2 linked regions of the Bombyx mori genome follow. The protein of the gene in region 2 interacts with the protein of the main gene of each other region in a biochemical or structural test. Links are inferred from orthologs where the notes say so. Each region holds a gene or a part of one and is shown on either strand. Other genes may lie near its edges.

What was found.
Region 1: the proteins of DNA polymerase iota (region 2) and DNA polymerase eta interact in far-western blotting, tested with the Homo sapiens proteins (2 studies listed by BioGRID). The link is inferred for Bombyx mori from reciprocal best matches to the Homo sapiens genes POLI and POLH.

The regions. Positions count from the first base shown.
Region 1 is NC_085116.1:15,896,988-15,899,875, forward strand, and holds the end of DNA polymerase eta, read right to left. Parts: intron 2,013-2,888; coding exon 859-2,012; 3' UTR 826-858; downstream 1-825. UniProt on the Homo sapiens protein: DNA polymerase specifically involved in the DNA repair by translesion synthesis (TLS). Due to low processivity on both damaged and normal DNA, cooperates with the heterotetrameric (REV3L, REV7, POLD2 and POLD3) POLZ complex for complete bypass of DNA lesions.
Region 2 is NC_085131.1:9,772,604-9,776,894, forward strand, and holds the start of DNA polymerase iota, read right to left. Parts: upstream 3,031-4,291; 5' UTR 1,025-3,030; coding exon 1,014-1,024; intron 916-1,013; coding exon 1-915. UniProt on the Homo sapiens protein: Error-prone DNA polymerase specifically involved in DNA repair. Plays an important role in translesion synthesis, where the normal high-fidelity DNA polymerases cannot proceed and DNA synthesis stalls. Favors Hoogsteen base-pairing in the active site.

The sequences.
Region 1 (2,888 bases), on a different chromosome or scaffold from region 2:
GCGAGTGCACCATCTCGCAGAAGGAGGTAGCGAGGCGCTTGAGAGACGTACAAGCCCATATATATACCCATTCGAATCTGCGCCATCTAGGCAAGCTTCGGATAGCGTGCCGACCAAGAGGGCTGGTGGTCGTGGTGCCGACAACGACCGGTCCGGCGTCCCGAGGAGGAGGGTTATGGGAGAGATGTGCTCCACACTAATCGCTTCACTTTCCTCCCTTTGCCTTCTCATGAGTTCTGACTCATGTGAGGTTCGGACATGGGTTGTTAAACGACAGGAGGTTTTTAGTCGGTTCGATTCCGACATGCCCCGCCCATCCCCAGTGGAGAGCGGAAGTCCGTCGATTTCCTTCTGACTATAAAAAACCCTTTTTAAACTTTGTAGCTAAAATATTTTTTAGGACGATCGACTCAAAATCATTCAATCTTTCTGTGGGACACCACGTACAACTTTAAACATTTCATACTGCGATGGGTCTTTCACCCGTGATCGCTAGTTGACATTATAAATCAACATAATTTGGCTAATCACGTCATATTCACACACGCAATTAAATTCATGCACGAGATTATCATTCAAACCGAAAACAAATTGCAATTTCGTTTGTTACCCATGAACAACCAATTGTAAGTAGGTACATAACAGACAAAAGGATATAAATATAATTAAATAAATTTTATATGAACAGAAATATTTAAAATTTCTCTTATCCAATCTTCACGAATTCTGTGGGTTTAATAAATAATAAACACGTTAATAAACACGGTGTTTAAAAAACAAAGCAGCCGGACAGCTCTACTCCTAATAAAATAAACAACAACGATATTGAAATTTAATTTCATTTTATTAATCTCACAATTATTTAAAAAATGATGTTATAGATTTACAAGGCAATTTGGATTTATGAACGGGCGACTTTCTTTTTCTTTTCTCGCCACTTCCTATTTTCACCGTAACCTTCTTGTTGAGCTCTCGACTAATTCTCTGAGCCTCGTGGAAGTCCAGATGTTCGGAAAACTTATCTAACTGCACTTTTCTCCCACACTCGGAACACGTTTCCGTCGGTACGTTTTCGTTGATTTTGACGAAAAAATTTGCTATTGTATTTTCAGTTTTATTAATATCGTCCGGAGGTTTCTTTTTCTTTTTATCTTCAACAGGAATTCGCGCTTCAAACTGATCTCGCTCTAGTCGAATCGTTTGCCTCTCTTCGTCTCTTAGGTTCAAAGCGAGATGATAGTCGGCGTGGGTTCCTAGATCTCCGACGGGTACGGCTTTACCGCATTCAGGACAACTGTAGTTCTCCTCACCCCTCACAGACTGACCGGCGACGTCAATGCCGGCTGTCCCAATTTCTACTTCAACATTAGATTTGAGCAATTCCCTAGTCCTGGCCACACGTTGGACGTCCTGAGGATCTTCATCGAACAGCGCAATACTTTTATTGATTTCATCGTTAATGGTCGATCGTGAATAATCCGACTGGTCACTGTCTTCGCCACGCTCGATGACGTCACAGACCGGCGTGCACGGTTTGATTACTGTGTCACTCTTTGAATTCAGTACATTTCTATTTTCCTTAAACTTATCGTTTAGAATTTTAGCAAAGAACGATTCTTGTCTGTCTAAGCTGGTCTCTAGTACGGAGTCACATTTCGCCTTATATTCTGCTGAGGGCGCAGTTTGTTCTTCAATTATATTGGCTTCCGTCTTTATGTTGGATTCTTTAAAGAATTTATTTATTATGTAACTTTTGTCTGCAGTTTTTTTTCCTTTCGATTCTAGCGTCTTCGCTTTGCAATGGTTAGTTCCCAGCGGCGCGGTCGTACACAGCTCCTCGGACTTTAATGAAGATACTTTATTGTCTTTGTTCGTAATGTCCTTAGAAGCTCCAGTTTCGAAGTAATCCCTGATCTTCTTTGATTTCTTCGTTTCAGAATTATCTTCGAACTTACCTACGCTTATTCCCAAAAAAACTATGGGCGCTTTCAGTTTCCTGTTGTCTTCAACATCTTTAATACAAATTATATTAATTAATTTTTTAAATTCACCCATAATCTCCGGGTGAAATGTTAATTTTCTGCGATAATTGGATGGACAAACTCAAGGTGTACCCGGTGCTAAGTGGTTACCAGAATCCATAGACATCATAGTGACACATGAGGTCGAAGTATCAGATCGACTTACATGAATGTACCCGTCTCAGGTTGGCCGCCCGCTGCAATGCAGTAACAGTCAGGATGGCTGTTTTTTTTATTGCTTAAATGGGTGGAGCAGCTGAGGACCAGACGAGATGGAAACAGCTCACGAGACAGGCAACGGTCAAGTTTCAGGGACACGACCTTCAGCAATGAAAAAAGCGACGAAGAAGAAGAAGAAGATGGGTGGACGAGCTCACAGCCCACATGGTATTAAGTGGTTACTGGAGCCCATAGACATCTGCAACGTAAATGCGCCACCCATCCTGAGATAAGTTCTAAAGTCTCAAGTATACTCTGAGTTACAACGGCTGCCCCACCCTCCAAACCGAAATGCATTACTGCTTCACGGCAGAAATAGGCAGGGCGGTGGTACCCACCCGCGCGGACTCACAAGAGGTCCTACCACCAGTAATCTGTCAGTGTCTGGCAGTGACCACGCAACTATATGATTCCGATGACCCGTTCCTATAGGCACAGCTCATTAAGTTTCTTATCGGATCATCTCAGTGGGTCGCGATTCCTATTATGTGGTAGATTCTGTGGTGCATTCCTCTTGCTAGGATAGCTAGCTAGCAAATTCTCTCAACCTGAGCCCCTGAACTCGCTCACCCGTCCGCACGTAGCTGGAATAGCACCTTAGGCTACCAGTGAATAGGTAGAGGAAAAGATCATCAGTTTTTTTTACTG
Region 2 (4,291 bases):
TCCACCTCACTTTTTACACTTACAGTTTTGAAACTATCCTCCAATCCTATGCTCTGAGGTTTTCCACTTTGCTTTACTGGAGTATTATCCTCTCCTAAACTTAAACTTTTCAATCTAACAGCCATATCACTGCTGAAATGTTTTTTCAGAATCTCTAAAGGAGCTTCTTGTAAGTCACTGACCGATATTATCTTCTGAGAAATTAATGCTTCCATTGTTTTGGAGCCAATACTTGGAATGGACCGGACACTGGTCAGAGTAGACATGTAATTGGCTCCATGTTGAGGAAATATTGTGGTCTGGTTGTTAGGTTTATGCAGGGGACAAATTAGTTTAGCCAACAACTTGTTATGAGCTATTCCGGCACAAGTTGTGTAACCCAACTCATCATAAATTTTCTTCCTCATTTCATTTGCAATTTGTGATGCTATTTTTAGTCTGTTGTGACAACCACATGGACATTCAGCACTCGGTTCACTATATAGCTGGCCCATAACTATGAGATCATTTAAGTTTGCATTTTTTAATTTTTCCTCCACAAGACTTGTCACATCAATGAAATTTTCATCCATTCCAAGTTTTTCAACGGGACACCGCCAACCTTGCAACACTAAAAACACCTTGCCTGATGCAGTTCTGTAACTATGTAAATCTTCACCATTTACAAGTTTCAAATTTGGACAAACCTTAAGTGCGTCAGTAACGAGCATACATTTACTAACTCCGTAGTTCCTTGCCTCGTAATTACTCGTCACTACAATGTTCTTCTGTTGGATACCGAGCGGTACATCACGGAGTTCGGGGTTTCGCACCATTTCCACTTGCGCGTAGAAACAATCTAAATCAATATGTATAATGCTCTTGAAATGTTCACCATCAATCTCGTTACAAGTGGAACAGCTCGATTCCATGTTTCTGTAATGTTAAAAGACATTTCACTCAGGATTTACTTTGTTCTAGTGCTGTTTTAGTAGTTGTATTATGTTGTGACGAGAGATTGACAAAGAACTTGCCTGTCGTCCATGTTCGTATCATTGAAAGCTGTAATAAGTTTTGCTTTCTTTAATTTGTATATTTATGTTATTTAATAATTGTTTTCTTTCATCAAATTTACAAAATAGTGAAACTAACAATCGGGCAATCGCGACACATCAACAGACTTAGTGTTGCAACATGCAAATATTTATATGAAATAATACGTCAAGTTTACATTTAATTTGTCTCGTTATCGACTAAACTTCTCAGAAAATTTTATCATAAATAAAACTATGGTCAGCCGGCACTTAGTGACTTCCATGGAGTTAATAAGTACCTACAACTGGAGTGCTGTCTAATGCCGAGAAATCGGTCTCGAAAGAGAATACTTTTTGGTCGCGGTGTCCTTGTCTAATGTGGTGACCATATAAAATTTATTTATAGGACAAAATTATACACATGCATCAGTTTTGAATTTACCTTAAGTAATTCTGTGTAACCCTATGTAAATACAAAACACGTGCTTGCAACGTTTTATTTATGTAAATTCAATTCTAAACATTGCTTCGTCGTCATGGTGACTTTTTTTCGACGATTTTTTTTGGAAATTGCTGCGTTGTCGAAAATCTAGCACTGAGTTTTATTACAAACATCATTACCTCAGTTCTATTACTTAAACTTCCTCAAACTCATGTTTAACGTCCGAATACTCAACCGCGACTTAAATATTATGTTGAACTTAATTACGCAATTCCTACTTTAATGTACTGGCTAAGTGGGCCGTGCAAATTAATATTTGACACACTGAGTGAGACACTGCAACACACATGGTCTGCGCGTATCGGGTGGTCTTTTCCTACATTCACATCTTAAATTGATTTAAAATTGCTTCTATTTTTACTTCTGTGCTATTTTCATGACACGTGTATATTAAGTCTACTAGTTACATTTTAGGAAATAAAACACAATGGGTAATAAATTGAAATGAACTGAAATTCATTTATTTGTTATATGTAGACAATTAAATAACTCTTAAATGACAAGTCAATACACATAACACAATACACATAGTACTTGATCTCTATTTACAAAATATTGGTTATATTATTATTATTAAGTTCAGTTAATTTTCTGTAGTCTTTTAATATAACATTTCCTCTATTTTAAGTGAATTCATTTTTTTCAATGAAATACATAATTTATTTTAATCAATATCTAAGTGGACCATGAGTATCATTAAAATGTCGCAATTTAAATTTCAATTCAATTAAAAATCGCCATTTTTCTTTAATAAATCTAAAATCGACTTTATATTTACAATCACTATTTCGCGACTTTTAAGTTTTTGTTTCAATACCTTATCATCTTGTCGTAATTTTGCTTTTCTCGAGGTATTTTTTATTTCTTGCGTTTGAGTACTTGATTCTTCTTGTTGGACCTTTATATAGGACATCTTCCAGAAATTCCAACGTCATATTTACTAGAAGATCCTCCTCGTTCGCTTAACGTCAGGCAAATGATATACATGCTTGCGTGCGACGCTATTCAATACAATAAAAAAAGTTCAAAAAATACCACGTGATGGCTCTTATAATATGAAAAATACATTGCAAAATTATAGTTTTCACGATTGTTTTTTCAAATTTAGTATATGACATAGATTAAGTACAATTTACAAGACAAATGGTATGAAATATTATAATGAGAAAAAATATCTCACAGTTTAAAAATATATGCTCACACTAGTAAAAATTTATCAATGAATCTGACATATGGAAGGATATTCCACAAACTGGAGAGGATTCTCGCTTAAAACCACTTACATTAAAAGTGCTCACCATGATTACACGGAAACTTTCACGATTTTCGAAAAAAAACAAGCCACAAGCTGTATCAGTGCCATTTTAACTTCGCACTAAAACGTAAATAGACGCCATTTTTCTTTTAATCCATTCATAGCTCTTTTTCGGTGATGCCAACAATTAATCTGGCTTCCCACCAAATTCAACATGAAAACCATCAGAAATCTACGTACCTACCATTAAATTTTTCATTAAACAGAGTTCTTATTAATATAGAACAAAAATTTTTTTGTTAATAAGCTTTATTAATATATGATGTTCTATTAAAAATCAATACTTCTTATATAATTTATTTTAATAAATTGTCATAATCAGAAACTAATTTCACCATAACTTTGTATGTTTATTTTGAACAAATTTAATTTTTGACGTTGATGGAAATTCTAAATTGTCGCAAAATTTTCTAGTTAAGTTTAAGTCACATCGTTTAAATAATATGTATTTAGACATATTATTGTCATAAAATGTTTAAAATCCTGTAAAGTGGATTGATTTTAACCTTTTCGATAATTTTCTACAACGCCCAAGCTACTAAAAAATCCACTAACCACTAAAAGCCATTTTTGATAACTAAGACGGGGGTCCGAATTCCGAGATTTTATGGAAAATCCTCTAAGCTAGCAACACTGCTTTTTGTTTGTAAAATGTGCGAGAGGGACACCACCACTTAATAATCATTCTCTTTTCAGACCGTTTTTCCTTACATCTTTTGCTATTTAAAAATAAACTTTAAAGCATAGAGATAAAGTATATTTTTAGTTTTTATGTCAAACGAAGTAAGCACTCCAGTTAGAATAGTAACTCTATGGTGACTTCAAATTATAATTAATGAATAGTAAAATAGCTTTGGACTCTGTGGTCAGCTCTAGTGCGAATATCACGTGGTTATCATCGCGGTCTATTAAATATTATTCTTGCATGTTATTTGTAAATATTTCCTTATTTGTGAGTGTTTAACATTTATTTATTTAGTTTAGTTTATGTTTCTCGGTGTTGGTAAGTAGTTTTATATTCTTTAAATATCATTTTTTCTTACTTATTATAAATTAATTCTTTTTTATGGTGTACCCTCACTTATAAAATGTAATATGAATTCTGACAAAAATAAACCTCCCGATCCGGGGATACCAGAACATGATTCTGAATCCCGGGATAGTGAATCCCTAGGATCTCCAAGTTTTTCAACATTGACAGCTCCTTCCATTCGGTCAAGTTCTTCCTCACCTATTCCTGACGTCGAGCTATTACCAAATGAAGCCTCATCGCGGAAAAGAGGCCCAATCGCAGATGATCAGTCCATTAGACACAAAATAACTAGGATTGAAAATTCGACAAAATCATCGAAAAATAATCAACCTTCGACCCCGGCATACACTCGTAAATACCTATCATCAGATTTGGGACCTTTTGCAGTACATGTTTCTAAGATTGAAAGTGACCCCTCTTCAGGAGTA